Pelodiscus sinensis: one gene and its partners. The protein of the gene in region 1 binds, or shares a complex with, the protein of each later gene. Links are inferred from orthologs where the notes say so. Each region holds a gene or a part of one and is shown on either strand. Other genes may lie near its edges.

The links.
Region 2: the proteins of WDR59 (region 1) and MIOS are in contact, whole or in part, in a cryo-EM structure (PDB 7UHY), measured with the Homo sapiens proteins. The link is inferred for Pelodiscus sinensis from reciprocal best matches to the Homo sapiens genes WDR59 and MIOS. Residues at the interface, in NP_085058.3 of Homo sapiens: Tyr871, Arg876, Glu877, Arg879, Ala880, Glu881, Leu883, Lys884, Pro889, Pro890, His893, Lys894, Gly895, Ile896, Glu897, Phe898, Gly899, Val900, Tyr901, Arg906, Glu908, Val909, Arg910, Thr912, Phe922, Gln923, Ala925, Ile926, Cys927, His928; in NP_001357005.1 of Homo sapiens: Asp705, Trp710, His711, Arg713, Ala714, Ile718, Ser721, Lys728, Pro729, Leu730, Ala731, Gln732, Val733, Phe734, Val735, Ser736, Cys737, Asn738, Phe739, Ile744, Lys780, Pro781, Leu782, Pro783, Leu787, Cys788, Leu789, Gly793, Pro795, Gln819.
Region 3: the proteins of WDR59 (region 1) and SEC13 are in contact, whole or in part, in a cryo-EM structure (PDB 7UHY), measured with the Homo sapiens proteins. The link is inferred for Pelodiscus sinensis from reciprocal best matches to the Homo sapiens genes WDR59 and SEC13. Residues at the interface, in NP_085058.3 of Homo sapiens: Ala525, Tyr526, Gly527, Asp531, Ala532, Asn533, Ile534, Pro535, Phe536, Pro537, Arg538, Thr539, Ser540, Gly541, Ala542, Arg543, Phe544, Cys545, Gly546, Ala547, Tyr549, Val551, Phe553, Thr554, Arg555, Met557, Ala644, Gly645, Lys646, Val647; in NP_899195.1 of Homo sapiens: Val4, Ile5, Asn6, Thr7, Val8, Asp9, Thr10, His12, Asp14, Met15, Ile16, His17, Asp18, Ala19, Gln20, Met21, Asp22, Tyr23, Tyr24, Gly25, Leu28, Val42, Pro59, Trp61, Gln62, His67, Pro68, Tyr79, Ser105, Asn107.

Annotation. Positions count from the first base shown.
Region 1 is NC_134722.1:48,050,311-48,058,141, reverse strand, and holds the start of WDR59 (GATOR2 complex protein WDR59), read right to left. Parts: upstream 3,061-7,831; 5' UTR 2,947-3,060; coding exon 2,893-2,946; intron 1-2,892. Other genes in the region: E3 ubiquitin-protein ligase ZNRF1, read left to right, coding at 5,510-6,266. UniProt on the Homo sapiens protein: As a component of the GATOR2 complex, functions as an activator of the amino acid-sensing branch of the mTORC1 signaling pathway. The GATOR2 complex indirectly activates mTORC1 through the inhibition of the GATOR1 subcomplex.
Region 2 is NC_134712.1:209,684,707-209,691,754, reverse strand, and holds the start of MIOS (GATOR2 complex protein MIOS), read left to right. Parts: upstream 1-3,970; 5' UTR 3,971-4,218; exon of another isoform or gene 4,219-4,417; intron 4,418-6,248; 5' UTR 6,249-6,323; coding exon 6,324-7,048. UniProt on the Homo sapiens protein: As a component of the GATOR2 complex, functions as an activator of the amino acid-sensing branch of the mTORC1 signaling pathway. The GATOR2 complex indirectly activates mTORC1 through the inhibition of the GATOR1 subcomplex.
Region 3 is NC_134721.1:19,785,466-19,792,491, forward strand, and holds the start of SEC13 (protein SEC13 homolog), read right to left. Parts: upstream 3,068-7,026; 5' UTR 3,053-3,067; coding exon 3,005-3,052; intron 872-3,004; coding exon 827-871; intron 1-826. UniProt on the Homo sapiens protein: Functions as a component of the nuclear pore complex (NPC) and the COPII coat. At the endoplasmic reticulum, SEC13 is involved in the biogenesis of COPII-coated vesicles.

The DNA of each region.
Region 1 (7,831 bases):
ACTGAAGAGACTTCTGTTGGTGGGAGAGCTCTTACAGAGCTCTGCGTACTTTGAAAACTTGCCTCTCTCAAGAGGAATGTATCCAATTAAAAAAACCAACTCTTCTCCCCCTGCCCCCGTGTCTCTCTAGGAAGCAATAATGCAGAAAAGGATCCACAATAATTTACTCCGGATCACCATCTAAATGACAGTCAATAAAGTCACACTGCTGCCCCAAACAGGTAACCGTTCTGATGTGTTAGCAGGTGTGCTGGAATCCTGTGTCCAGCTGTGGGCGCCAAACTTGCAGAAACATGAGGACAAACCAGAGGAAGCCAAAGGAGACCTAGAAAAATGTTTTAAAGATCTAGAAAACACAACCTGTAGGAGGGACTGAGAAAATTGGGTTTGTTTGGTCTGGAATAGAAATGACTGGGAAGGACATGGTAACAGCCTCCAACTATAAAAAAGTCTGTTCTAAAGAGGGTGAGAAATCATTCTCCTTAACTACTAAGGATGGGACCAGAAGTAATGGGTTTGAATAGCAAGCGAGAGTTTGTTAAGCATCAGGAAAAAGTTCTCCACTGTCAGGGTAGGTAAGTGCTGCACCAAATTAACTAGGCATCTGTCACTGGAGGTTGTTAAGAACAGACTAGAGCAGCGGTCTCCAATCTTTTTACACCCAAGATCACTTTTTAAATGTCAGGACAAGCCAAGATCTATACCCAACCTTCCCCAAGATCACACTCCTTCCTTGAGACCCTGCCCTCTCTGTTCCCCTTCTCTCCATCACTTGCTATCCCCAGCCCTTATACACTCTCAGGGTACGGCTACACTGCCGCTTTTTTCGATCCTTGCGTTGGAAGAGATTTTTCCAACATTTGGCCCGTCTGGACTGGGACAAATGTCGGAAACCCCCTTCTTTCGGAAGCCCCCTCATTCCTTGTGGAACAAGGAATACAGGGGCTGTCAAAAGAGCGTGTTTTCCGGAAAAACTCCTGCAGTCTAGCCGTACCCTCCCCGGGTGGAGACAGGAGGTGCAGGCTCTGGGGTGGGAATGAGGGATTTAGGTGTGGGGAAGGGTGAGAGGTGCAAGCTCTGGGAAGGAATTTGGATGCAGGAGGAGGTGGAGAAGGGGATGCTGGATCAGGGAGGGGGCTCCAGGCTGGGGAATGTTGGGCTCAGGTGGAGGGTTGGGGTGCTGAGCAAGCCACAGGCTTGTGGATGTGAGGGTGCAGGAGTTTGGGTTGGGGGTGTGAGGGGCTCAGGACACAGATTTGTGATGTGTGGATGGTGCAGGAGTGTTGTGGCCGAAGACTGAGAATGTGGGGGTGCAGGAGTTTGGGGATGTGAGAGGCTCAGGCCAGGGGGTTCCAGTGTACAATAGGCTCAGATTTAGGGTCGGAGTGGGGGGTACAGGAGTGTTATGATGCTGTGGCCAGATGGGGGCTTGGCCCCAATTGGGGGCTTGTTGGCCAGGCTTCATTTTGAAAGAAAATATTCTGCCAAACTCAAAAGATTTCAGCATTGTCTTTATTGATGAGAGGGGCAGGGAACCTGTTTTGAGTCAGGGGTCACTGACCCACAGAAAAGTCAGTTGGGGCCACACAAGTGAGATACAAAAACACAACCCCTCCAAACCTCACTAATGTGGCCCCAACTGTGCTGGTGGGGGAAGGGGGGTTGGGTGGGGGGGAGGGGACAGGGTACTTCGGGATCCTGCAGTTACACACCAAGTGCACAGGCTGCTACTTCGTCCCCCAAACAATGGTGCAGTACCTGAAATGCTGGTCCATAGCACACCTGATCCCTTCCTGCACAGGGGAAGGGGGAGTCCTGGACTGCGCCAGCCCCAACTGCTCGGGCAGCGCGTGCCTTGCTCCTCTGCTCCCCATGGCAGCACGCACCACCTGAGCAGCTGGAGCCAGTGCAGTCCTGGACCCCCACCCATTCCCCTGTGCACAGGAAGGCAGCAGGGGAACAAAGTCCCCAGCGCGCGACAGATCGGCATTTTAGGTACCATGCCGGCTGCTGGGGGCGGGGGGAGCAGCCCACGCACTTCTGGGGCCTGGCGTGCAGCTACAAAACTCCCTGCGACCCCGCAGGAAGCCCACACTACCTCCATAGTCCCTGGAGGTAGCATCACTGCAGCATTAATCTTGGGGGTGGGGGGCAGCGAGGGGGGGCCCCCAAAGCCTCATGATTGACTGGTTGAGCCTCAAGGATCGACCAGTCGATCGTGATAGACAGGTTGGTGACCATGGGACTAGAGAAACAACTCTCAGCTACGGTCTGGATTTATTTGATTCTGCCTCAGTACAGGGACCTGGACGTGATGACTTCTTGTGATCCCTTCCACTCCTGAATGTCTACGGGGAAGAAAGGATGGAAAATCCTGGTTAAGCTGACCTAACACTTAACCAGGTTCTGGGCAGGGAGCTGCTCCAGCCCACTGGGGTTCGTGCTCCCAGCCCCTGCCAGAGCAGCCCCATCCATGGCAGGCTGGGCTCCCCAACAGAGACTGCTCTGGACGCTAGGCTGGGGCTGAGGGAGGTTGGGGGTGGGGCTGGGGGGTGCAGAAGGGGGCTCTGAGCAGGGATGCGGGGGGGGCTGGGGACGAGGGAGGTTGGGGGTGGGGCTGGGGGGTGCAGAAGGGGGCTCTGAGCAGGGATGCGGGGGGGGCTGGGGACAAGGGAGGTTGGGGGTGGGGCTGGGGGGTGCAGAAGGGGGCTCTGAGCAGGGATGCGGGGGGGGCTGGGGACGAGGGAGGTTGGGGGTGGGGCTGGGGGGTGCAGAAGGGGGAGGCTCAGGCTGGGTGTGCAGGCTCGGGGGGGGTAGGGCTGGGGGGTGCAGAAGGGGGAGGGGAGCCCGCGGCGCATGCGCCCTGCTCCCCAGGCCGAGCGGGCTCGTTACCTGCGAGTCCCGGAACTCCACCACCACATTCTCGCTGCTCCAGCGCGCCGCCATCTTGCGCCGCCCCAGCGCCAGGGGGCGCGGCTGCGTACGGTGCGGCCGGAAGCGCAAGGCCTGCTGGGAGTTGTAGTCCCAGGGGCGGGGCGGGGATTGCTGCCAAACGCGAGGCTCTTCCCCGCCAGCTGCCTGCCTGTCTGTCCGTCCCCCCAGCTCGGGCAGGAGCAGCAGCGAGTTGGCTTTGTCCGGCTCCCACGCTCTCTTCTGCAGCTGTTACTTGTGCGGCCACGTGCCTCAGCCCAAGACGCCCGGGGAGGGCAGGCCCTGCATTTCCTAGCGAGCCATGAGTAGCGTGTGACGCCCGTGTTACAAAATGCCTTTACAAATACAAAGTAGTGTCATGTCTGCGAGTTGCCATGCCCTTGCAACGGCCCCAGTCTGGCAAGCACTTGGCCACGTGCTTTGTTTAGCTTACATGAGCAGTCCCACTGAAATTCATACCAGGGCTCACATCCTGGATCTTGCAAATGTGGCAGTGTATTGTACTGTACTAGGTGAGGTTACTGGGGTTACTCATGTCAGTGGCAGAACCTCCACTTTATAAATGCCTGAGATAGGGACTGAGCTGTCAACCACACAGTCACAACATATCTGGAAATGGAAGTGCACAATCAGGCAGCAGCAGAGAGCCCCCAAAAAGCAAACACAGTGCAGTACTGTGTTAAACTTGAGTTTTTAAACAATTGACAAGGTAAGGAAACTCTTCTATGCATGCTTCATTCAAATGAATATGATTAAAAGCAGAATTTTTCTTCTCCATAGTAAAGTTTCAAAGTATCAAATCAATGTTGTAACTTTGGAAAAAACCATAACATTTTGAGAACCTGAAAGCAAAACTAACTAGGAAATAACTTTAAATAAAACTGACTAGTCCGTTTCCTAGCAGAAGCTAAGTTAAATGCAAAAAGTAAGCAATACATATAAATAGTGAAAAGTGAATTAGGTTGATGATCATATTCTAAAAAGTTCCTACTACTGCTGCTTTGAGAACTTTTCAGTGTAGCCCTGTTGCACTTAGAACGCTGAGAAAGTAAAAACTATTTCACTCAACTCTACCATATCAAGTCACCGTTGTTGGTTTTTTTCTGTTTGTGTGTTACAATCTCAGGCCTCAAACTCTGCAATGAGATGAGTAAAGAGTAAAGCTTTACATCCACGTGGCACGCCACTGAATTTTGTAGTCAATTGCACAATCATGGACAAAGGGAGGACGTGATGATAATCTACAAATATTCAAATGCTGTAAATGACAGGAAGGGAGAGGAATTATTTCAAGTACAACTTGAAAAACTTCCTTACCATGGAAGCTATTAGAGCCTCCAGTAGTGTGGAGGAAGTGCACAAGGACAGGACATTTTTCCAATGGGCTGGGTGCATCATTATTAAGAGCTGACAGTGTGCTCTCTGTGTGCAAGATACAAAATACAGTCTCTGCTCCAGAGATCAGAAAAGTTCTACATGTATATGTGTATAACATTACACACATGAGCAATTGAGCAGATCCACTGAAGTCAATGAACCAGGTCACCTGTATGAGGAAAGCTACTCGTTTGTCTATGCTTCAGCGATGTCCCAACTTTAAAATTGAAATATTTATCTTTCCTTTGCCTACCTGACCTATTGAAATGTGGTAAGCATATGAGGACCCTGCCTGTCTCTTGTGTATCAGTACAGTCGCAGTGCTGGATTGACACACAAGTTAACTACAGTTTAAGGCCTCAGATTCAGAGGGGCCTTTAAATACAAAAAAATTACTCATTTTTAGGCACATTTTCACTTATGTACTGGGAGAGATGCAAATGATACAACTTTATTATTTCTATTGCCATTGTCCTTTCTGTTAGAATAATACACATTTTTAGTGTCAAGTATCAGAGGGGTAGCCGTGTTAGTCTGACTCTGCAAAAGCGGCGAGGAGTCCTGTGGCACCTTATAGACTAAGGTGCATCTGATGAAGTGGGTCTTTGCCCACGAGAGCTTATGCTCCTACACTTCAGTTAGTCTATAAGGTGCCACAGGACTCCAAACATTTTTGGGTCGTGGTAGTGGGGATTTTAAACTTGACATAGCTCAGGGCAGGGGTAGGGAATCTAAGGCCTGGGGGCCAGAGGCGGATCCGGTCCCTGAAGCTTGGGGCTCTCCCTCCCCAGCACTGGGGAGCCTGCACTGGTGCTCCACCCCTCCGCCATCCCTCCACGGGCTGGAGCACACAAAGTGTACTAGCCTGGGGGCACGGGTGTGCAAGGGGACCATGGGGAGTGTCTGTCTCCTTCTCAGTGGGGGGGGGGGGGGTTCTTTGGACTTGCGGCCGCCCTTGACTGATGTTCCTGTGGCTCAGCGGCCCCCAACCCAAGCAAGGTCCCCAGCCCTGACTGGGCCCTGGTGCGGTGCCTGTCCCAATGGGCCCTGCAGGCTCCTGGCAGGCTCTGGGACTCAGGCTCTGACACTGGTGTATTGCAACAGGCACCGTCATTGCACCGGCCCTGGGCGACAGCGCCCCCCGCCCCCGCCGCCGGCAGTGAAGGGGTTAATGCGGGCGGGGCGGAGCGAAGCGCGGCGCATGCGCGCGGGCGGCCCCTATTGTCTCGGCTGGCCCCAGCCGCGAGCGAGGCGGCGGGAGACTTCGCTCCACGGACCAGGCCCCCTGCGGCCCCGAGTCAGGCGCGCGCGCGGGTCGGCTCTGCGGGTGCTAGCGGGCCCCGGCCTCGCAGCCAGGCGGGCGGGCGGCCTTTGCTCGCTGCTCCCCCTCCCCCGCGGCGCGCGGCCCCCGCCTGCTCCACCCCCTCCCCCCGGCTCCGGCTGCGGCTGCGCGGCCGGGGGCCCGGCGGGGGGGCCATGCCGGCGGCGCGGCGCGGTTTTAATTCCTAGTGTGCCGTCGCCGCCTCCCCGCGTCCCTGCCCGCGCCGCGGAGCCCATGGGCGGCAAGCAGAGCAGCGCGGGCCGCGCGCGGGACCCCTTCCCGGGCGTCTCCAGCGACGACAGCGCCGTGCCCCCCCCGGGCGCGCCGCCCCCCTTCGGGCCCTACCGCGCGGGCGGCGCCATGGGGCTGCGCAGCCGCTCCGTCAGCTCGGTGGCCGGCATGGACCCCGCCGCCGCCGCCGCCGCCGGGCCCTTCGGCCTGTACGCGCGGGCGGCCGCCGACCCCGAGCGGGCCCCGGCCGGCGGCGGCTCGGCCGCGGACTCCACCTACGCCCATGGCAACGGTTACCAGGAGACGGGAGGCGGTCGCCATGGCGACGGGATGCTCTACCTGGGCCCGCGGGCCTCGCTGGCCGACGCGCTGCACATCGCGCCCCGCTGGTTCAGCGCGCACAGCGGTGAGTCCGGGCCGGGGGGGGGGGGGCGCGGGGGCGGTGAGTCCGGGCCGGGCCGGGGGGGGGGGCGCGGGGGCGGTGAGTCCGGGCCGGGCCGGGCCGGGCCGGGGGGGGGGGGGCGCGGGGGCGGTGAGCCTGGGCCGGGGGGGTGTCCGTGGGCTGCTCCCTGCGGGCCCGGGCCCGTGTTCTCAGCGGCACCCCGGTCCCGGGCGCTGTAACCGGACCGCCTGGCCCAGCAGAGCCAGCCGGGCACAGGGCCCGTGCCAGGCAGAAAGCTGCCAGCACCTGCCCTGGCCTTCCCCTCCCTGCTCTGCCTTGGCTCTCCTAGAGGCCTCTACGGCAGGCCTGAGTGTCCTCCCTTGCCGCCTGTCTGGGGGTGGGTCAGCTCCGGCAAAAGTAGCCTGGGGTGGTGTAAACCCGCTCCAGGGCAAGTAGTTTGCTGGGAAGGACTGAGCCGGGTTTTGGGCTGGTGTGGTTATAGTCTCTAGTGTCTGGATGTCTTCAGGAAAAAAATGAAGAAGGGAGGGTCTGGGAAACCTGAAAATGAGAAGTAGGAGTTTGTGCCCTTTCTTCTGGGAAGAGGCCACAAAAAGAGGCCGAAGGGGTTTTCCCATCCGACCAGCTGGCATAGTCAGGATGCCCTGTAGCAAGTGGAGAGAGAGGAAATGACTTGTCTGGCCTGCTTGAGGATACTGTGGAGTGAGCAGGCACTGCTGTAGGAAATCTGTTAGGGCTGAGGGAGAGAGGAAGCCCTCCCCTCCCTCCCCCCCCCCCCCCCCCCCCCCGCCTCGCTCCTAAACAGCTCCATTGGCCGGGCTGGCTGTCCCAGTGGGATTGTCAGAGACCTAAGGCAGGGAAAGAGTGGGAGCCCTCCCTGCTGTGAAGTCATTTCAGGGATGGTGTCTTGTTTCCTGGAATAGTCTGGGACTTTCTCCCCCTCCACCGCCTTCCTGAGTGCTGTCAATGACCTTGTTCTGGGAATCTCCTAGTACCTCTCAAGAGCATGCCTCCTTTCATGGGGAGCAAACGTAGGACAAGGGAGTGAAATGCAAAGCAAGACTCATAGGACCCGCTTCTCCCAATCGAGGGGGCTTGCTGCTGCCACTTGGACAGGTGCTCTCTGGTGCCCTGAGTTAATGTAGGGTACCCCAACTGTTCTGCTGTTACCCCAGACAGTCAAGAAAGCCTAGTGACTGGAGCACAGGGTTGGGAGTTGGGACTCCTGGGCTCTCTTCTAGCTGCCCTGCCGTGTGACACTGTGCAGCTGCCTGCCTCAGTTTCCTTCTCTGTTTTTTAAAGCAATGATTCTTCTGTGTGGCATGTTGTCAGCTCCTGAAAGCCAGTATAATCATGCCAAGTGTCAGTGTTGCAGTGGAATCCCACCCAGTTGTAGGTGATGGCACCTGTTCTGTTAGAGTGGAGCTGCCCTTCTCAAAGTACCTTTCTGAGAGGCATGATCTGAACGTCAGTCTTTTCTTGCTTGCTTACTGATTTGCAAAATGGACTAATGCCCCTCCTGGGTCTCCCAGCTGTTAGTGTGAGTTAGTGAAGGTTTGTGTTACTGCATG
Region 2 (7,048 bases), on another chromosome or scaffold:
TATTTCGAAATAGCTTATTTCGAAATAACGTGTCTACACACAAAATGCATTTAAAAATAGCGTTTTGCTAGTTTGAAATAGCGGGTCCACACTGAGTGGACTCTGACTCGCATGTAAGGCTGGCCAGAACCAGTTCCAGCAGGGCACACTTACTGTGTGGGGCTGCTGCCTGAGGTTATCTGAGGTCTGTGCTTTAAGGGACCCCCCCGGACAGCCAGTTCTCAGCTTTCCCATCCTACCTCGATGAGGGACAGCCCCCTGGACACTTTGGTGCTTCTCGTGGATGCGTTGCTATCAGCCTGGCTGCACTTGCTGCAGGCTGTCATCCGGGAGGTCCATCGAGGGGCTGTCAGTATCCAGGAGGCCCTGTGGGAGAGCGTCCACTCAGAGCCTCCCTGGTCTGCCCACTGGGGGCTTGTGCCTCATTCCTCCCTCACGTCCTTCAACGTACCCCTCCCTAGCCCCCCTTCCTGATGTCAAATAAAATACATGTATTTTAAAAAATATCAAGTCTTTTTATTTAACAAAACTGGGGGGGGGGATTAAACTATGGGGAGACTGGGGAAAGGAGGCAGGAGCGGGGAGAGGGAAACCTGGGTGGAGGGAGCTGGAAGGGGGAAGCACGGGGAAGAAGGGGGAGGGGAAGCTCAGGGCCAGGGGCGGCCCGTGCCTATAGGCAAACTAGGCAGCCGCCTAGGGTGCCAAGTTGCATGGGGCGCCAAATTCCAAACTCTGCCCCTTCCATTTCCCATGCCTTACCTGGAGCATGGCTTCCCTGCGACCAGGAGGGGGGTAAGTCAGCACGCAGGAGAGGGGGGGTTCCCCTGTGCCACGGGGGGGTTGGCCCCGGGGGAGGAGAAACACATGGAGGGTTTCCCCTGTGCCGTGGGGGGGGGGTCACCCTGGGAGAGGCGCGTGCCGGCTTCTCTCGGGGGGGAGGGATCTTGGGAGGAGGTGGGTGCAGGGGAATCTCTCCCCCGACTGGCACCCTGTACCCTCTCCCCGGCCCCCAGCCCCCAAACTCCATCCCCATCCCTTGGCCCCCAGCCACAAAACTCCAATTCCAACCCCTGGCCCCAAGCCCCCAACCCCCTGGCCCCAGAACTTCATCCCCAACCCCTTGACCCCCAGCCACCGAACTCCATCCCACTGTGTGGCACGAGTTGGAGCCACCTGCCCAGGGGTGGCACGGCACGTGCTCACGTGCACAGGTTGCTGCAAGATCCGTGGTAAGCAAGGCCCATGCGCACGGTCCCTGGTCTTCCTCCCCACCCCCCCCCCCAGGAAGGGGACAGTGATGGCACTTGCCTGGTGTGGCTTCCCCGGCCGACCCTGGTGACTCCACTGCTGGGACAGCTCCTCTTCCATGCCCTGATCAGGGCCCTCTGCTCCCGGCTCGCTGCCCCCTGGGCTGGCATGGACCATCCCACCCCCCAGGATACGGTCCAGGGCCTCGAAATGGGGGCAGGTATATGCCCCTGTTGGGGAGCTGCCCTGTTTGGCCCTGGCATATCCCTGCCTCAATTCTTTAATTTTCATGCGCACGTGTTCTTAGGTGTGCATGTGGCCTTTAGTGGCCATGGTGGCAACTATGCGGCTGTAGACGGCCGCGTTCCTTCATCTAGTGCGGAGATCATGGACAGTGGAGACCTCTCCCCAAACCTCAATGCGGTCCATGATCTCCGCACTAGTCCAGGTGGAACGAGGTGTACCGGTAGTTTGGAATAGGAACCTAGTCCGAACTACCTAGTTCGAGCCCCGTGTAGCCACGCTACACGGGGTTCGAACCAGCGGGGATTTAAAAATGGCGGCTCCCCGCTTATGCAAATGAAGCCCGGGAAATTCAAATCCCGGGCTTCATTTCCAAGTGCGGTATGCCTACATTACCCTCCTAGTTCGAATTAGGAGGGTAGTGTAGACATACCCTAAGTGTCTACACAGCAATTATTTCTGATTAGCTATTCCGAATTTATCGTTATTCCTCATAGAATGAGGTTTACCAAATTCGAAATAAGTGCTCCACTATTTCGAATTTATTTCAAAATAGCGGTTTGGCTGTGTAGACGCTAGTAAAGTTAATTTGAAATAACGGCTGTTATTTCGAATTAGCTTTGATGTATAGACATGCCCTAACTGAAGAAGTGAATTATTTTGGTAATAACGAAGGGATAGTAGGTGCCATGCACTTTCTGTGGGCAAACATCAACTGCGTAAGACCCTGGATTATGTTCAAAGCCATGGTTTGGTCCCCAAGTCTGGGCAAAAATATATTGGTAAACTATAATATATCATAGAATCATAGAGCTGGAAAAGACCTCAGAAGATCATCAAGTCCAGCCCCCTGCTCTAGGCAGGACCAATCCCAACTAAATCAACCCAACCAGGGCTTTGTCAAGCCAAGACTTAAACACCTCTAGAGATGGAGACTCCATTACTTCCCTAAGTAACCCATTCCAGTGCTTCAGCACTCGCCTAGTGAAATAGTTTTTCCTAATATCCAACCTGGACCTCTCCCACCACAACTTGAGACCATTGCTCCTTGTTCTGCCATCTGTCACCACTGAGAACAGCCTTTCTCTATCTTCTTTGCAAGCTCCCGTCAGGAAGTTGAAGGCTGCTATCAAATCCCTCCTCACTCTTCGCTTCTGCAGACTAAACAGACCCAACTCCCTCAGCCTCTCCTCATAGGTCATATGCTCCAGCCCCCTAATCATTTTGGTTGCCCTCTGCTGGACCCTCTCCAGTGCGTCCACATCCTTTTTGTAGTGGGGGGGCCAGAACTGGACACAATACTCCAGATGTGGCCTCACCAGAGCTGAATAAAGGGGAATAATCACATCTCTGGATCTGCTGGCAATGCTCCTCTTAATACAACCTAATATGCCATTAGCCTTCTTGGTTACAAGGGCACAATGTTGACTCATATCCAGCTTCTTATCCACTGTAATCTCCAGGTCCTTTTCTGCAGAACTACTACTTAGCTGGTTGGTCCCCAGCCTGTAACAATGCTTAGGATTCTTCCATCCCAAGTGCAGGACTCTACACTTGTCCTTGTTGAACCTCATCAGATTTCTTGTGGCCCAATCCTCCAATTTGTCTAAGTCACTCTGGACCCGATCTCTGCCCTCAAGTGTATCTACCTCTCCCCCCAGCTTAGTGTCATTCTTAAACTAGGTCAACGGTAAGAAAAGTTATTGGTTTTTTTGTCCCAGGGGCTATATCTAGGGGACTCTTCAGTTAAATTACCCCATATTGGGAATAGTAATCATACCTACCTCCAGCTCTGACCTCTATATCTCCCACACACCAGCCTCTCCACCCTCTGTTCTGAGCCCTCCCCCACTATCCTGCGAGCCTCCCCATCCCCATTCCAATGGAAATGAAACTGTATTAATAACAGAAAATAAGAGTTATTGCTTTAATGATGCACATTTTCATTCACAGTATTTTCTATTACAAATTCGCTCAGGTTTTCGTTTTTACTTCTTGTCAGGTGGCATAGGTTCACTTCTGGTCGGATGTGACATAACGGTACCGGCTGGGCCTCACTCATAGACAGGAAAGGTGGATCCTCTTGACGAAGTAAAGCAGTTTTATAGCCAATATATTAGACAGGGGTTGGGACAGCCGCCCCCAGCCCTTATTGGATTAGTTGGTCAAGGGGTACAATTTACAGTGGACAGTAATTTTAAAGCAACGCCTCCTACGCATATAAACCTCCCAAGGGGCGGCGGGGGGGGGGGGCAATTGCCATATGGCAGCGCCGGTAAGAAATGCAAGTTACTTTCACCCCTGCAGGTATGTGATGGAGGGGAACGGAGGGGGCGGGTTTGGGACCCTGGGAGTGACTGGGGCGTGGGCGGGGCCTCGGGGGGGGGGGCGGTGGGCGGAGCAAGGACAGTTTTCTGCAATTAGAAAATGGTCCCCCCCCCTCCGCCCAGCAGGTGCTGGCAGAGGCGTCCCAGTGCAGATGGCGGCGGGCCCCGAGGCGTTCGGCGCTCAGTGGCTGGTAGCGATGCGGCCGCGGCCCTTCCGGCCACGCCCCCCGGCCGGCCGCCCCGAGAGCGGCGTGGAACCAGCGCTCGCGCCCCCCGGCCGGCAGTCGCCCTGGCAACTGCGGAGGCTTCGAGGCGGAGCTTCCCCGCAGGCCGCCAATCGAGCGGGATAAAATGCGTTAACGGCGCCGTGGTGACGTAGCCAAACGGCGCTTCTTACCGTGTACGGAAGTGAGGGCGCTGCCGGGGTCGCGTTGTGGCGTCACGCGCGGCTGCCGGGAGCGCGAGTGGCAGCGCTGGGGTTCGGCCCGGGAGGGCGGCTGCGCGCGCCCGCGCGGTGAGTGAGCGGAGCGGGCTGAGCCGTGGAGTGCTGCGCGGGGGGGCCGGTTTCTGTGCAGTGCTCCGAAGAGCGCGTCGTTCAGGTGACAGACCCGCCCCCCAGGCACGCGAAGGGTCTTTGGACCCTGCAGCCCCTGCTCGCTGGCTGGGTGCGGGCTTGGGGCAACTGCAGCGGGGCTGGGCGCCCCTTGTGGCACCAAGCCCCGTGGCTTGTGCTGGGGACTGCAGCAAGGGCCGTGTGCCCCTCCTCTGCAGTGCTCCCTACTGTGGGTGGGGAGAGCTGTGCAGGCTTGTCCTGCTGCTATGGAGTGAGGGGCTGTGTGCCTCCCCCATTGTAGCGAGAATTGGGTTCCCTGGCATGGTGGGGTTCTTGCCTCTTAGTCTCCCATGTGTGCCACCTGTTCAGCCCTGTCCCTGGTTATTTTTAACAAAGTCCCAGATAATCTCTGTGAATTTTTGTTTATTGGCTGTGACTTTTATTAAAAAAATACGATAATAAAATCTTAGCCTTATTGTTGAAGTCTGTTTCTGTGTAGAAAATTGTCCTGAAGCTCTCTACAGGCAGTCCCTGGGTTACGTACAAGATAGGGACTGTAGATTTGTTCTTAAGTTGAATTTGTATGTAAGTCAGAACTGGTACATATTGTAGGGGAAACTCTAGCCAAACATTTCTCCAGAGCTCAGTTTTATTCTCCCACACCTCACTTCCCTCAGTTCTTTATTCTCAAGCTGAGGTGTCTGCTGAGAAAAGCCGCTCCGCGTCTCCCTGGTCTGCTGGGGGGAAGCAGCTAGTGCGGGGTTGCCTCTCCCCGTTTGTAAGTAGGGATCCGATGTAAGTCGGATCCGTGTAACCCGGGGACTGCCTGTATGTTGCAAAATTGAGAACAACAAATTGATCAAGTATTTTGTAAATGCTTTTATGATATCCTAATACTTTAACAGGATATCAATTGGTTTCTTTTAAGTCTTTCATGAGAGGCTACACTTTTGCAAAATGGCATGACATTTTCCTCTAGTTTCACAATAAAAACACCTGTGATTTGACAGTCTTTTCATATTCTACATGAGATTAATTTTAACCTGAGATCATGTCATTCTCAGAGAACTCAGTGTTCACAGTAAGGATGTTAATGAATAGTTGACTAGATGGATTAACTGATTCGCTCAGGTTTATTGGTGAAGCTAGTTGACTACTTGCATTCTCTCCCCCCCTTCTTCCCCGCCTTCCCTCCCCCCCCCCCCCCCGCTTGCTGCCTCTGAATCAGAAGTAGCAAGGGGAGGGGAGAGAGCAGGATCCAGTGCTGGAGGGGAACTGGATTCTATCAGAGGCATGGTTAGGAGAGGCTGACATGAAGCAGCTTCTGCCTATGTGGGCCCTGGCTTGCTGTGGGCGGAGGCTGCTTCGTGGCAGCAGTGCGATGGACCCCTTCATCAGAAGCAGCAGTGTGAGGGTGACAGGGGGCTCCCTGGGAGTGGGGCAGGAGGGCACTGGCTGCAGGCCCCACCCCTGGGGACTGTAGAATAGTTGACTAACCACTAAGAATTCATGTGGTTAGCTGACACTTTTATTACCCGCTATCTAACATCCCTAGTTCACAGTAGAGTAGTATAATAAAGGAATACTAGTCCAACACATGGGAAATCCCGATGTCACTTCAAATAAGGCTAGCTGAATATTTTTCTCCCAATAAATAGAGAACATCAATAATGGACAAAAGAGGGTTGAGGGTGGAATTTTGAGGTGATGGGAGAGAGTTTTACAATATCAGGGTTAAGTGTATATTTAGTACTTGAATATTTGCCTTAAAGTTAAGACAAGGTCTTGCATTATTTTTAATTCATTTAAGATTATTTGGGCAACTACAAATATACAAATTGTTTGCTAAAACCCTTACCATTCCTTTTTTTTAACAGTTTCCATATGAATGGACATCACCTGAGTCTTACGAAGAAAATTTAAATTGCTTGTACTAATCTGCAGTTGCAAACATGAGTGGCTCCAAACCAGATATTCTGTGGGCTCCACACCATGTTGATAGATTTGTTGTATGTGACTCAGAATTGAGCCTCTATCATATTGAGTCTGCTGTGAGTTCTGAACTCAAAGCAGGATCCTTGCGATTATCAGAAGAAACTGCAGCTACATTATTGTCAATAAATTCAGATACACCGTATATGAAATGTGTGGCATGGTATCCTAAATATGATCCTGAGTGTCTTCTAGCTGTTGGACAAGCCAACGGTCGAGTTGTCCTTACAAGCCTTGGCCAAGATCACAACTCAAAGTCCAAAGAGTTGATAGGAAAAGAATTTGTTCCAAAACATGCACGGCAATGTAATACCTTGGCATGGAATCCATTGGACAGTAATTGGCTTGCTGCTGGACTAGATAAACATAGGGCTGACTTTTCAGTATTGATCTGGGATATTAGTAGCAAATATGCTCCAGAAAGTGCTGTTGCTACAGAGAAAACGAGACTTTCAGCTGGAGATACTGAAGCTGGGCTAGTAGTGACAAAGCCGCTTTATGAATTAGGACAGAATGATGCTTGTCTTTCTCTTTGTTGGCTTCCGCGTGACCAGAAACTTCTTTTAGCTGGAATGCACCGAAACTTGGCTATCTTTGACCTTAGGAATACAAGCCAAAAAATGTTTGTAAATACCAAAGCTGTTCAGGGGGTAAATGTAGACCCATACTTCCATGATCGCGTTGC
Region 3 (7,026 bases), on another chromosome or scaffold:
TTCTCCAGAGATACTTTTCTTGCACTATCTAGTCAAGAATTACTTTTAATATCTGTCTTTTAATAGCTATTTCATATTTCTCTGACAGGTATATCACCCCACTACAGTAAAAATAAATAGTGCCTAAAAGTTAGAGCAATGGATAGAAAGATGGTACTCTGAGGCTCCATTCTCTGCCACTGATGCTGTAGCCCTGTGCAAAGCTACTTAATTGCCCCATTCTTAGCTTCCCTCTTTATAAAATAATATTTTTTTTAAATGCTGGCCTACCATACCCATGTACTCAGGCTTCATTAATCAATGTTTGTAAGTCACTTTGACATCCTTTCATATAAAGCACCAAGGAAGCGTACTTACTGAGAGAAGATGCTGTTCTTTGGGGTGGAAGACTCACATGCTGAAGTGTTATATTCCTTTTCTAAGTATACATGCACACACTACTCTCTCAATTTCATTCTTCTGTGTTCTCCAAGCAACAGCCTACGTTCTTAGGGGTTTTTTTGTTTATTTGTTTCACAGTAGCAAGTCCCAGACATCAGAATGAGAGCTCTAAATTGTTTCTCCTTCAGCCAACTCCAAACTGAGTCTTTTGCTTTCTTCCACCCAGAGCTGTAACATCCCCATACCTCCTTGTGCCTACCACCTACACACACAAGCTGTAACTAGAAGGTGCTGTATAGATAAACTCATTGAAGTAATCGGAATTGCACAGGTAACTGACAGCTGAATTTTCCCCATTACCACAATTTAAAAAAAAAATCAAAATAATTTTTCTTCAGTAAAGCAAAACTCTCAGCTTTTTTTTTTTTTTTAAATAAATACTTACAATCATATCTTCATGAGAAGTGTCCACAGTGTTAATTACTGATACCTGAGGGGGAAAAAAAATCACTTACATTTAGTACAAATGCCAACAGGGAGACTGAAACTGAAGTTTACTCAGAGACTATTTTATATTAAAATACTCAGGTAAGATGTTTTCCTCTAAGCTACACTAAGGATGTAACCCATTTCCATTCAATAAAAACTTCATCTCAGGTCAATCTTAGTTTACCTTTGCAATGTTATATTTAAGGTGGAGAAAGTACCTTTGCTTTCGTTCTGGGTTTTGGTAAGTGTGAATTTAACAGTGGCTTGCCCTCCATGGAAAATAATATCCTTTTTATTTATGGACACGATAGAGCCCAGGCTGTGGCAATGCAAGCTTCCCCACATTACCTTACCAATTCTTTGTGTCTCTGTCCTGGTCTAGAAGGGGAGGAAAGACAGTTTGATCTCCCTGACTAGTGTTTGCTGAGGCTATGAACAAGCGTGTCTCAGTGCCAAGAATTTGGAAACTGGACTGAAACCAAACTCATTTCACAGGAGCCACCTGTACAGCCATCTGTAGCCAGACACACCAACCCCCCATATCATCCATCTTATTTGCCTCTCTGAAGCATACAGGGCAGAGAAGGAGCAGTAAAATCAGCATAGTCTATGCTGGCTCATCTGATCCTGAGAAGCTGAAAAAACAGATATGTGGAGAGAGAGAGCAATTAAGTCAATAAGCTGGCCTCGAGGCTGCGAGAACTGCCCCAGCTGGCACCCATGTTGATTCGAACACACACACAGTCCCTGGGAGAGGAATTTCCCACTGAGAAAAGAATCCCCCAGTAATTCCAATTTAGTTATCTCTCTTACAAGTGTAAATTAAGTTCACAACTCCCTTGTAAGAATTGGTCTCACAAAAGGGAGACCAGCACTATTTGGCATCACAGATAAAAAAAGAGAAATACGTGACCCAAAATGGGTATAAAAGATGGGTTCAGCACACACTCACTTTGAGTGTCATTCTACCCTCTACCTGCTGGTCAGGTTAGGTGTTTGACCTCCCGAGGTTCTATAGGGACGCCCACCTCGTATTTTCATCTTTCCTAGGAATTGAGGGACCGGCCCTGGCCTGACATGCTGGAGTCGAGACGCACAGAAGGGGGTAAAAATTGTACCTGGATGTGGTCCTCTGTCTTAAGTGTACACATAGAAAGAGTAAGCTGTTACTTGGTACCATTATTTCTATTTTTCTATCTATCTTCTTTGTAACCATTTTTAAGATCTATATTTTGCTAGCAGTTAAGAAATAGAACAATAGCCATTGCAACCATATGATTTATAAGCTTCCTCAATAAACCTGTAACTGTTTAAGCTTTAACCTGACTCCTTCAGTTGCTGTAACAGAACCAAGCACAATTTAAAAGAACTTCAGCCGGTCTAAAGGGACAGTTATAGGAAGAGCTTGGGCGTTTGGATCTGTGTCACTCCCAGGTGACAGGGTCCACTGGGGCACTTCTCAGCCTTTCCTGGGCTGCCCGCTGTGAAGGAACTTCCCCCCTCTCCCGTGTTCTAGCAGCTAAAATCTGAAGTGTAATAAGCTCTTCCTACACACTGGGACGTCTGTTAGCCTGTTTGGCTACCCTCTGCGACGGGACCTCGGTCCTAGCAGTAAAGTCACGGACGTTAAACTCTCGGGGCTCCTTTCAGCCTTCTGGGCTGCCCGCTGCGACGAGACTTCGTGTCTTAGCAGCTAAAGACTTAGGAGACACACCCACACACACTGCCCTGACCGTCTGCTGACACCATCAGAGCCCAGTGATTTCAGCTCCTTAGTCAGACTGGACAGTGTAGCAATGCTGAAGTAAAGGTCATCCCTTGAAACACTCAGTATCCCTAATATATGTTGAGGATGAAGGACAAAAGGATACCTTCACCAGACATTCAAAATCCGGGACTTCCTCCACATTCTGACTTCATTTACCTGGCACTGCTCACTTCAAAATGCCAGTGTCCTGTTTTGGTTGGCAGGGTCTGCTTTTTGTATCTATTCTGCATCTTGCTAACAGTCCCTTTGTGAGAAAGCAACAAGACCACTAGGCAGCATCTAAAATAAGTTACCAGAGCTCCAGAATTTTCACTCCAGTTTAGACAAACAGGCCATAAATAAATCACTTCACTGCTCAGTACTTACCTGTAAAGTACCTCCAATCTGTGAAACAGGGATAAGGATACCAAACATCCCTAGGATGTAGAGTGCTATATAAAAGCATGTCTACAGCTGTAATGTTTCAGTGAAGACATGATTATTCCAATAGGCAAGATGCTACTATCGATGGAGTTTATCCACCTCAGGCTGTGGCTAGACTGCAGGGTTTTTTCGAAAAAAGTAGCCTTTTTTTGAAAAAACTTCACCTGCGTCTAGACTACAGCCACATTCTTTCGAAATTAAATCGAAAGAACGTGGCTTTTCTTTCGATGGGGGTAATCCTCATTTCATGAGGTATAATGCCTTTTTTCGAACGTGTTTTTTCGAAAAAAGGTGTTCTTGAATGCAAACAGGGTTTTTGAGAAACAGAGCATCCAGACTGCTTGAGTGCTCTCTTTCGAAAAAGTGGCTCACTTTTTCGAAAGAAGAGATTGCAGTCTAGACGCTCTCTTTCGAAAGAGGCTTTTTCGAAAGATTCTTTCGAAAAAGTCTCTTTTGAAAGAGGCGTGAAGTCTGAGGTAGACATAGCCTCAGTGATAGGCAGTAGCTATGTCATTGCGAGAAGCCCTCCTGCCAATAGAGCGCTCGCTACACAGGGGGGCTGGGTCAGTATAACAACCTCATTCAGGTTGGACTTTCCACCCCTTAAGCAACTTAATTATAATCAATATGAGTTGATAATGCAGCGCAAGCCCCAGGTGTACAGCAGGCAGTATCCATATCAAGGAAAGCCCAGCGTGGTGGTTAAAGTTCACGGATCTTCTAAGTAGGCACTAGGCTGTGGTGCAGCCCAAAGCTGCAGCTGGGGCTACGCTCCTGCTGCCTCTTCTAAGATGTGTTTGTCCATCTCCAGCCTACACTCTACTCCCCCCCCGCTTTTTTATTAGTGGCCGATCACACGGGGGATGCCCAGGAGCACGGGGCTTGGAGCCCTCACCTGGCCAGGGCCCTGCCGCGGGAAGCTCGCGAGCCTACCACAGGCCGGGAAGTGAGGGGCCCGCCCGCCCTCCGGGTCAGCGAGAAAGCGGCGAGACCCCCCAGGGAGGGCGGCGAGAAAGGCCCGTCCCGGGGGGGGGGGGCAAGGCAGGGGCTTGGAAGGAACCTGATCGCGCCCCTGAGACGCTGTGTCCCTCCCCGGTGGGAAGGAGCCGCTCGCGGGGCCTTACCATGGCGGCGGCGGGGCGGGCCGGGCTCGTGCGGCTGCTACCGGCGGCTCAGACGTGGCAAGTCCCGGCCGGGTTCGCGGTGCGGCGATGAAATCGCCCCGGTTGGGAACATGCGCCCCACGCTCTTCTTCCCGTCACGCCAAAGTTCCGCCCGCCGCTCGGGCCCAGCTCCCCGCCCAGAGCCGCCTCAGGCCCCGCGCCGCTCAGCCTGTGCTGCTGCCCAGCCCCCGCGGCGAGCTGCGCTGCTCCGGCCTGCCCTGCTTCTTCGCGGCGGGCCCTGTGGGTGCCCCAGCACGGCGCATCCAAATACCGAAGGTGGAGCACCCACAGGGCCGCCGCTATCAAAGAACTGCAGTTACTGCAGAGGGTGCGTGACCCTCTCTTCTCTCCAGCCTGGCGAGCATTCACCTCTCTCAGATGAAGTGATGAAACAAAAGGAAGGGGAGTTTTACTTACTCCCTAAAACGTCAGTCACAACGGCCCTAAACTTCCCCTGGACCCCATAGACTATCGCAGTGTTTCTCAAACTGTGCTCCACGGAGCCCCAGGGCTCCTCAAGACATCTCCAGGGTCTCCCCGAGGTTGACAAACTGGAAACAGGGATAGGTACAACACAGAATCAGTGGGCTGCTGGGGCTCCGCATACATTTTTACACATGTAAAGGGATCCGGAGCCCAAAAAGTTTGAGAACCACGGACCATAGTGTCTCCTGCTGCTAGATTTCCCACTTTCCCCAGATTAAGGGATTGCCTTCCAAATCACCCAGGCTACAGAAGCCAAAAAAACCCAAACAAAACCAAGCCCCCCAGGTAATACCTAGATGTAGGGTTGCCAGGTGTCCGGTATTCTACCAGACAGTCTGGTATTTGCACTCTTTGTCCGGTAAAAAAAATCAGATTCTCTGATTTTTCCAGCTGCGCACCGGACGGAAGCCTGGCAGGGGCGGGGGGAGCGGCTGGAAAGTGGGGCCACGATCAGCGGTAGGAGCCTGTGATTGCGCAGAAGCCTGGAAGGGGCAGGGTGTGTGGCTGGGACTCCCAGCCACTCCCCCCGCCCCTGCCAGGCTTCTGCACAATCACAGGGGCCCAACGCCCATGGTGGCCCCGCCTCCTAGCCTGGGAGTCCCAGCTAGGAGGCAGGACAGCGATCACCCCTCTGGGCACTTCAGAAGCCTAGCCAGGACGGGGGGAGTGTCTGGAACTCCCAGCCACTCCCCCTGCCCCCGCAAGGCTTCTGAAGTGCCCAGAGCATTACCAGGTGGGGAGTCCCCAGCTGGGAGGCGGAGCCGCGATCGCACTTCAGAAGAGTTCTGGGAGTCCCAGCCACTCCCCCCACCCCAGCTAGGCTTCTGAAGCGCCCAAATCGATGATCGTAGCCCCGCCTCCTAGCTGGGACTCCCAGGCTGGGAGGCGGGGCCGCCATCGGCACTGGGAGCCTGTGATTGCGCAGAAGCCTGGCAGGGGTGGAGGGAGTGGCTGGGAGTCTGCTCCCCGCCAGGCTTCTGTGCAATCACAGGTTCCCAGTGCCGATCGTGGCCCCGCCTCCCAGCCTGTGAGTCCCAGCTGGGAGGCGGGGTTGCGATCGCTGCTTATCCCGCATTCCTTTTTTTTTTTGCTCGACCAAAAAATACCTGGCGTCCGGTATTTTTTGGGAGACCATCTGGCAACCCTACCTAGATGGATGGCAACCCTACAACAGGGAGTTGTTCCTGATTAATAGTGTGGACACTGAGCCTGAAACAAGAATGCCTGCTTTGGTTTAGCTGAACCATAGCACAGTTAATTGGGAACAACTTCACATGTGGATAAGGCCTAAACTACTGGTTTTGCTGTCCTATCATTAACTTAATGGCTAAGTCTACATTAGCATTTTACTGCACTGTAAGTTTCTGGCTCAAGGGTGTGGAAACCCCCTCTAACCAGTGTAGCAAGTTATAGAGCTGTAAAGGGCCAGGGTAAGTCAGGCTATAGCGGGAGTTGTTAGCTATTCCAGTCATGGTGGTGGTTTACCAAGAGCACTGGGAGAGCTCTCTCCCAACACCCCTGCCATGATCACACTGACTGCTGTGTTACAACACTTCCACTGTTGCTCTTTAAACTTTTAAGTGTAGACCATGCCAATGTCTTTGAGAGAACAGCACTAGGAGGTTAGAGCTGGCATTAACAGGTGAGTAATACACAGAATAGTGCACAGGGTACAACCATGTTGTTAAATAGGCCAAAATTTCAACTGAAACAGCCTCAAACTTGGTGGAAGTTAACATCTGGCTAAAACTATAGTGGTTTGGGATTATCTTTGTAACCCCAGTTCCAAACACTGCTAAACTTTGGCCAGCACGCACTAGTCTTTCTAATACTACTGGTTGAGAGCCATGGCAATGGTATTGGGGTTACATCAAGGAAAACAGACCCCTGACTTCCAATTTTGCAAATAACTGTTAAAAGTATCTTCCAGTTGTTAGGAAACCATTGTTAGTATCTAAAAGGTTAGTCTGTCAAAACTGCTACCTGCAATGAATGTTCCAGTCCTGTAGTGAGCTTCTATGCAGCCACATAGAGCTCATAGCTGGAGTAGAGTTTATGGGAGGAAAAGTCTCCTGGATTCTAAATACACTTAGGTTACGTCTAGACTGTCATGATTTTCTGCAAATGCTTTTGACGGAAAAGTTTTCCGTTTAAAGCATTTGCGGAAAAGAGTGTCTAAATTGGCACAGACACTTTTCCGCAAAAGCACTTTTTGTGGAAAAGCGTCCGTGCCAATCTAGACGCGCTTTTCCGCAGAAAAAGCCCCTATTGCCATTTTCGCGATCGGGGCTTTTTTGCACAAAACAAATCTGAGCT